2 linked regions of the Macaca mulatta genome follow. Each later gene encodes a partner of the first gene's protein in a complex. Links are inferred from orthologs where the notes say so. Each region holds a gene or a part of one and is shown on either strand. Other genes may lie near its edges.

What was found.
Region 2: UBL4A (region 1) and GET4 share a complex: the UniProt entries of both Homo sapiens proteins name them as parts of the BAG6/BAT3 complex. The link is inferred for Macaca mulatta from reciprocal best matches to the Homo sapiens genes UBL4A and GET4.

What each region holds. Positions count from the first base shown.
Region 1 is NC_133426.1:160,668,808-160,673,328, reverse strand, and holds UBL4A (ubiquitin-like protein 4A), read left to right. Parts: upstream 1-1,582; 5' UTR 1,583-1,590; coding exon 1,591-1,638; intron 1,639-1,841; coding exon 1,842-1,947; intron 1,948-2,195; coding exon 2,196-2,404; intron 2,405-2,522; coding exon 2,523-2,633; 3' UTR 2,634-4,435; downstream 4,436-4,521. Other genes in the region: SLC10A3 (P3 protein), read left to right, coding at 1-664. UniProt on the Homo sapiens protein: As part of a cytosolic protein quality control complex, the BAG6/BAT3 complex, maintains misfolded and hydrophobic patches-containing proteins in a soluble state and participates in their proper delivery to the endoplasmic reticulum or alternatively can promote their sorting to the proteasome where they undergo degradation.
Region 2 is NC_133408.1:34,831,726-34,835,520, forward strand, and holds part of GET4 (Golgi to ER traffic protein 4 homolog), read left to right. Parts: intron 1-1,114; coding exon 1,115-1,253; intron 1,254-2,357; coding exon 2,358-2,498; intron 2,499-2,504; exon of another isoform or gene 2,505-3,496; intron 3,497-3,530; exon of another isoform or gene 3,531-3,795. UniProt on the Homo sapiens protein: As part of a cytosolic protein quality control complex, the BAG6/BAT3 complex, maintains misfolded and hydrophobic patches-containing proteins in a soluble state and participates in their proper delivery to the endoplasmic reticulum or alternatively can promote their sorting to the proteasome where they undergo degradation.

The sequences.
Region 1 (4,521 bases):
CCTCATCATTACCTGCTCATCGCCTGGCGGCGGAGGGAGCTACCTCTTCAGCCTCCTTCTTGGAGGGGACGTCACCCTGGCCATCTCCATGACTTTCATCTCTACGGTGGCTGCCACTGGTTTCTTGCCTCTGTCTTCAGCCATCTACAGCCACCTGCTCAGCATCCATGAAACACTCCACGTGCCCATCTCCAAAATCCTGGGCACCCTGCTGTTCATCGCCATCCCCATAGCAGTGGGCGTGCTGATCAAGTCCAAGCTCCCCAAGTTCTCCCAGCTGCTGCTGCAGGTCATCAAGCCCTTCAGCTTTGTGCTCCTCCTGGGCGGCCTTTTCCTGGCCTATCGCATGGGGGTCTTCATCCTGGCAGGCGTCCGGCTACCTATCGTACTGGTGGGTATCACAGTGCCCCTGGTTGGCCTGTTGGTGGGCTACTGCCTGGCCACATGTCTGAAGCTGCCTGTGGCCCAGCGGCGGACGGTCAGCATTGAGGTAGGGGTGCAGAACAGCCTGCTGGCCTTGGCCATGCTGCAGCTATCCCTCCGCCGCCTTCAAGCTGACTATGCCTCCCAGGCCCCCTTCATTGTGGCGCTGAGCGGCACCTCCGAGATGCTGGCCTTGGTCATTGGCCACTGCATCTACAGTAGCCTGTTCCCAGTTTCCTGAGGCCTCTGGGTCAAGCTTTCATCAGCCCCAGCCCCCACACTCCACCAAAGTTCTCATGCACTATGCACTCAGAAAAATCCAGGCTTATTTTTTTTACTGATTTTTTATTCTCCAGCTTTCAGTGCCACAGAGGCCATGCTGAGTTAGGTAGGTGGGCGCTGCCCAGAAAATATATTTCAATAAAACAGAGAAGCAAGCTTGGGTCCCTTCTAATCTTTGCCCTTTGGGGCCTGGGCGTGGGGGTAGAAAGAGTGTGCTGGGTAGGTGTGGACCAGGGTGGAGGGCCAGCTTGGGTGACACGGTGACCCCTGCATAGGCTTTCTCTATCAGCCCTCCCGGGGCGTGTCCCCACTGTAGGAGAGGTGGGAGGATGAGGGCAGAGGCTGGCCCCCCTACCCCCTCTCAAGCTCAGTGGGGTGTTTCGCAGCCAGACCAGAAAGGAGGAGCCAGAAAGCCACCAGGCAGGGAGCCGGCGGGGGGGGCGCCGTCTGTGGGTATGCAGGGCCAGGTTCCGCCAGCAGTAACGGCGCGTGGGGTGGTCCAGGCAGTCTGCGGGGGCGAGCGTACCTTCTGGTCCTTCCTTCTCCATTCCCTAGCTCCCAGATGACGCCAACCTGGCCCGACTAGTTCCTGCTCCCAACTCCCCGGCGCTGTTGCTTTGGGAGGGGTCCGCCGGCCAGGGCGGTCGCTGCGCGTGTGCTAGGCGGGACCCCAGGGGCACTCCTCCCGGGGTGCAACTGGGCCGGGGGGCGGGGCCGGGGCGTGGACGAGGCAGGAGGGCGGGGCCGGGAAGCGCGGGCGGCGGGCGCGCCCCTCTCGCTGCTTCCGGCGGCGGCGGGCGGTTCCAGCGCGCGCCCGGGGCGGCGGCGCGCGGCGGGGGGTGGTTGGGGTGCGCGCCGGCCCGAGTGGACGCCGTCGCGACCGCCATGCAGCTGACGGTGAAGGCGCTGCAGGGCCGGGAGTGCAGCCTGCAGGTAGGGTCCCCGGGCCGGGCGGCCGGGTCCGGCGCGCTCTCTCGCCGGCTCCTGGCAGGGTGACCAGCAGGGCCAAGGGCGGGCACGGGGCGGCCGGGCCGGGGACTGGGAGCCGGGAGAGCTGCCCTCGGGAGCGGACGCGTGGGCTTCGCCGCCTGGGGACCGCGGCCTCAACCCTTGCCTCCCACCCTCCGCGCGGCCAGGTGCCGGAGGACGAGCTGGTGTCCACGCTGAAGCAGCTGGTCTCCGAGAAGCTGAACGTCCCCGTGCGCCAGCAACGGCTGCTTTTCAAGGGCAAGGCCCTGGCAGGTACCCAGGGAGAGGAGACGCCCAGGGAGCCCCGCAGGAAGCGGGACTGGGGTGCGCGGGCCGAGGCCGGCAGCCGTGTAACGGGTTGGGGTGCCGGCGCCAAGCGCCACATGACCCCAAGGGAGGCGGCCGCATGCCTCACTGCCGGATGCCGCAGCGCTCCGCTCCCGCCGCCCGAGGCGGTCTCGCGTCCCGGGCCACCCCCACGGCGGCGGAGGAGGAGGAACCCATCGATCTGTCTTTGGCAGATGGGAAACGACTCTCGGATTATAGCATCGGGCCCAACTCCAAGCTCAACCTAGTGGTCAAACCCCTGCAGAAGGTGCTACTAGAAGAAGGCGAGGCCCAGAGGCTGGCCGACTCCCCACCCCCGCATGTCTGGCAGCTAATCTCCAAAGTCTTGGCCCGCCACTTCAGTGCGGCAGATGCCAGCAGGGTCCTGGAACAGCTACAGAGGGTGAGAAGGGTAACCCTGGGTATCCTCTCCAGGCCCAGTTCCTCCCAGCCCCTACCTCTGTTGCAGTGTATGGCTCCCCACTGGCAGCCCCTGAATCTTCCTGCCCTTCTCTCCCCAGGATTACGAGAGGTCCCTGAGCCGCCTGACGCTGGACGACATCGAACGGTTGGCCAGCCGCTTCCTGCACCCTGAAGTGACTGAGACGATGGAGAAAGGCTTCTCCAAATAGCATTCTCGGAGCATGGGGAGGTGCCCAGTGCCAGGCCACAGCAGCATGTCACACTAAGTGTGTTCACCTGTTGCAGTTGGGCTCATAATAATAGCTGGCATGTACCTGGCTCTGGCCACGTGCTAGGCACTCCTCACAGCTTGACCTGGGTTTGCTTCCACACCCTCAGAAGAGGTGAGCCAGCACAGCAGAGGCACTGGCGGTGAAGTGGCGGAGCCCCAGTCGGAATCCAGCGGCTTCTGAAAGTGCCTTGGTGTGAGAAGGAGGAAGGGGCTGCTTGGAGAGCTGGGCTCTGGCATGTCATGTTTAGCCCACTGAGAATATACCCTCAGGTGACTCCTTCCCAATCCTGAAAGGGAAAGCAGCTGTCACCTGACCTCTGGCGGGTCCAACATAGCCTTCAGCTTACCTCTGCAGGAGGCCAAGTGACAGCCAGCCCTGGAACCACCACACCCCCAGCAGCTGCTGCAGCCAGTGTGCTTTCGACAAATGAAAAAGCAGGTTGGGGCCAGGGAGTCAGCAAGTCACCCCAGCTCTGTGATGTGACTTCGGGGGAGTCTCAGTGCCACTTTGGTCCCCAGCCACGGACTTTATACAGTGAGGGCCACTCCCCGACCTGAGTCAGTGTCCTTCGTCTCACAGTGCCCCCCTCCCTTCTGTTCAGTAAACAAACTGAAGCCAAAAGCGAAGCAGTGGCCAAGTGTGACCCAGAGATGGGGTGTCCTGGCCCTTAGTGACACAGCTCCTCTCTGGGCACCCTGTCTGCTTGTCTCCTCCAGGAAGCGTTAGGGCTGATGGGTGACTCAGCAAGGCAATGTCAGAACTGGGGCTGGGCATAGGCCTTTGTCCTCGTCCCCAGCACTCGCCTCCCTGTGGAAGATGAACACATCAGCCACCTGTGTACAGCCGCTCACTTCGTGTGCTCCTTGTTGCCTGAGAGGAAACCTTGGGGTGCCAGGGTGGGGACAGAAACATGGGCTGGGTTCCGGTTCCTTCTCCACTGTGCCCTGTGCATGGGCACAAGAGGACATCTAGCCACCTGCTCCTTGGAGGCCCCCAGGGGTGGTAGAGGCTAGAAGGAAGCCACAGCAGGAGGACGCCACTCTGGGCCCTCCACCCTTGCCAAGTGAGCCGCTCACAGTGTGGTCGGGGCTGCACGTGCTGGAGGCCCTCCTGCCTGGGCCTGATGGGGCAAATATTGGGTCCCCGGGCTGGAAAGATGGACAGAGGCCCAATGGGTGAAGGCTTTGAAGAGCACACAGAAGCCCCTGGCCCCCCACGAGAGCTGGAGAGCCATGTATATGGCTTCAAAGCCACCTATGGCAGGGACACACTTGTGAGCATGGGTGGCCTGCAGCTCAGGTGATACATTTACCAGTGCTCTTGTTTGCGTGGTGCCAGGAAATTGATTTTGGAAAATGAAATAACATTAAAGGTGAATGTGAGACTTCCACTTTTATCCAAAAGGAGCTATATTAGCTAGGCTGTTTCTGATATCCAATCATTGGTTTAACAATAAAGGCAATTTGTTTAATCAGTAACGGAAATTTCTTGGCTTATGAAAGTGAAAAGCCCAGTGGTATCGGCATTGGCAGCAGGGGAGCAATTCTTCCAGTGTCTTCCTGCCTCCCTCTGCGTTTGTGTCTGCCACATCCCAGGCCACCACCTCCAAGGATGAAAAGGTGGCTGCCTGCAGCTTCCACAGAATCCCTCCCTCACTGCCTCACTGCCAGAGCAGCACCTTCTCTGTAGCACCTCTGCTGTCTCAGATGCCTCCAGCAAATAAACACCCTTGTTGGTCGGAACTGGATTGTGCGTCCAATCATTTTGGCCGGGGTAGGGGGTGATTATCCATCAGGGCTGGCTCCCTGGAGCTAGGCATGGGGTC
Region 2 (3,795 bases), on another chromosome or scaffold:
GGGAGCCCAGGCCTGCTCCATGCCAAGGTGGCCACGCACGGCCTCTGCTGTCCTAAGCACAGGCCCCATACAGGACCTGAGGCTGGGGCTCCACGATACTTGGGCTATGTGCTTCCCTGGTGCTTCTCTCCTGGGGATGAAATCACACCCATAGGTAAAGGTTTGGGAATGTAGGGAGACAACAGGAGACAAAGCAAGGTGACAAGGACTCTGGCAGCCACAGAGGCAGCAGGAGGGCCCTGGAGGCTCCTGTTGGGCAACGCAGTTGGGAAAGGGCCCACTAGGTGGGAGAGGCAGGCGCCTGGTGAGTGCTGAGATCTGCACCACGGGAAGGGCTGTGCTCCCAAGGCATGCACGGGGCCTGGGAGCGGAGTGAGTGTGAGCGGGTGTTAGGACGGGGCCTGGGAGCGGAGTGAGTGTGAGCGGGTGTTAGGACGGGGCCTGGGAGCGGAGTGAGTGTGAGCGGGTGTTAGGACGGGGCCTGGGAGCGGAGTGAGTGTGAGCGGGTGTTAGGACGGGGCCTGGGAGCGGAGTGAGTGTGAGCGGGTGTTAGGACGGGGCCTGGGAGCGGAGTGAGTGTGAGCGGGTGTTAGGACGGGGCCTGGGAGCGGAGTGAGTGTGAGCGGGTGTTAGGACGGGGCCTGGGAGCGGAGTGTGCCTTTGAGATATCAAGGGTTGATCGTTGGGTCAGTGTGGTGAGTACATCAGGCTGGTTTTGACTGTTGATTACATGCTAGATGCACTGGCCTAGGCCCTGATTACATTGCTCCCTATAAGTTGCTTCTGGTAGGTGGGGAGGGTCCCATGTTAACACTCTGTAACTGATCATTACAACGCACGTTAATGTGATTGGATTAAGCAGCTCTGAGAGCTTGGAGGATGAAGGTGTTGCATGGCTGAGTGACTGTTCCCTGGTGATCTGTTTATTTGGTGCTGTGTGTGAGGTTTGGGCCGGCTCTGAGTCCCTATCGGGTACCTCTGCCTGTGGGCTCTGGCTGGGCTCTTCTCCAGGGCAGGCAGGTGGACTACAATTAACATAGAGTATCTTTCCACTTTTCCTGTTCTATATTATATTCATGAAATGCATTCAAATTTTTCTGTGTTTCCTTTGCAGAACAAAACTATTGTGAGTCGCGGTATCATTTTCTGCACTCGGCGGATGGGGAGGGCTGTGCCAACATGCTGGTGGAATACTCTACGTCCCGTGGCTTCCGCAGCGAGGTGGACATGTTCGTGGCCCAGGCCGTGCTACAGTAGGTGTTTGTGGCTCTTTGGGTCTTGGCTTCCATCGCTGCCTTGGCCGGGCGGCCTTAGAGCAGGTCCCCTTGTCCCCTGCCCGAGCCATGCTGCAGGATAAACTGAGTTCACTCTGGGCAGAATCCACAGCGCACTTGTCAGCCAGAGTCACCCGTGATTATTCATAAGTTTAACCAGTTTCAAGAAGTATCTTAGAAACTCCCCCTTTCCCGACGGGCACTGGAGCGCCCTCCACACTGCGCCTCTTGCCCGCTGCCGGGAGGCCCCGCGGCCTCTGCTCTCCTCAGGCCTGCCTCAGCCTCTGCCTTCCCGCAGTATCTGGAAAAGCGGAAATGCACACCCAGGTCATAGAATGGTGAGCATCTACCCCGCGGCCCCTCCCGCCAGCTCTCTGGGGCATCCTGCAGGCCGAGCTCCAGGCGCTCCTGCTCCAGGCGCTGGCCTCCGCTTCCTTTCTCATGAAAGCGTTATTTGTGTCCATCAGTTTCTTCCCACAGAACAATGTGGATTTCAAGGCGGGCGTTGGGGAGTTAACGTGGGATCTGGGGACAGACACCCTCTGACCTCGGTGGTGCGCACTGCAGAGCTCTGCCAGGAGCTGGCGTCCGTGACTTAGATGAAAAGCTGGGTCAAACCTGGAGCTCCCTGGCTCTGCACCGCACTGCGTACACGTTTTCTCTGGGCTGACAGTGGCTCTGCCCCTGGGACACTGAGCTCTCCCCGTGGGCCCTCCTCGAACAGGAGCCAGGGTCTGTGTGGCACCCGCCAGCTGCTGTGCCGTGACTGAGTGTTCTGGTGCGGGCAGCCTGAGGAGAGGAGAGCTTGCTCAGTGCATCGCATAGTTGAGTCTCAGGCTGGGGCCCAGCTCCAGAGCCTGGTGACCTTCCCAAGCTTCGTTCTCTTCACCTGTGAATTTCAGGCTTCCCCAGTATGCCCTGCACGTGAGGGGAGACACGTGTGAAGCACTGGGTTCCTCCGTGCCGGGGGCCGCGGGACCCATGGGCGCACGAGCTTGGGAAGGATGTGTCAGAGGCTGGCGCCTGTGCGGCCAGAAGCCATGTTCTCCAGCCCTTCCACCACCAGCATGTTCTCATTTCCAGGTTTCTCTGTTTAAAAAACAAAAGTAGCGCGTCGGTGGTCTTCACGACATACACCCAGAAGCACCCGTCCATCGAGGACGGGCCTCCATTTGTGGAGCCGCTGCTCAACTTCATCTGGTTCCTGCTGCTGGCTGTGGACGGGTGCGTCTTGGTGTCTTGGGGGTGGGGTGTGAATATGTGTGTTGTGTGTCGACGTGGCATGGGTAGCTGTGTGGGTGTGCGTGCAAGTGTAGCCATGGTGGGGGTAGCTGTGTGGGTATATGTATAGGGTATGAGTGTTGGGTGTAGACGTGGTATGGGTGTGTGTGCAGGGCTGTTGGGTGTAGACATGGTAGTGTGGGTAGCTGTGTGGGTGTATGTGCTGTAGTGTGGGTGTGTGCAGGTGAGTGTTGGGTGTAGACTTGTGGGTACAGGGGTGGGTGAGTGTAGACGTGATGGTGTGGGGGGTTGTGTGCAGGTGAGTTGGGTGTCGATATGGTGTGGGTAGCTGTGGGGGGTGTGTGTGCAGGTGCTGGGTGTCCATGTGGTGGTGTGGGTGTGTGTAGATGTGTGCAGGTGTGTTGTAGGTGTAGAGGGGGGAGTGTGTGTAGGTATGGGGTGTCTGGTGTGGGTAGTTGTGTTGGGGTACGTGCAAGTATGTGTGTTGGGTGTAGACATGGTGAGGGTGGGTGTGTGGTGTGTAGGTGTGTTGTCTGTAGACGTGTGGGTAGCTGCGTGGGGGCGTGCAGGTGTATTGGGTATAGACGTGGCAATATGGGTTGCTGTACGTGTGCAGGTATTGAGTGTAGACATGGCATGGGTAGCCATCTGGGTGTTTGTAGGTGTTAGGTGTGGGTGTGGCGGTATGCACAGGTGAGTGCTGGGTGTAGGCACGGTGTGTGCAGATGTGTTGGGTGTGTAGGCGTGTGTGCAGGTGAGTGCTGGGTGTAGGCACGGTGTGTGCAGATGTGTTGGGTGTGTAGGCGTGTGTGCAGGTGAGTGCTGGGTGTAGGCACAGTGTGTGCAGATGTGTTGGATGTGTAGGCGTGTGTGCAGGTGAGTGCTGGGTGTAGGCACAGTGGTGTGTGCAGGTGTGTGTTCGGTGCAGGCGCGGTGGTGTGTGCAGGTGAGTGGTGAGTGCAGGTATGTGTTCAGTGCAGGTGAGTGGTGAGTGCAAGTATGTGTTCAGTGCAGGTGAGTGGTGAGTGCAGGTATGTGTTCAGTGCAGGCGCGGTGGTGTGTGCAGGTGAGTGTTGGGAGTAGGTGCGGTGGTTTGTGCAGGTGAGTGGTGTTTACAGGTGTTTGGTGCAGGCATGGTGGTGTGTGCAGTTGTGTACGCAGGTGAGTTGGGTGTAGGCACGGTGGTGTGTGCAGGTGTGCAGTGTAGGCGTGGTGGTGTGCAGGTGAGTGGTGGGCGTAGGTGCGGTGGGGTGTGCAGGTGAGTGGTGGGCGTAGGTGC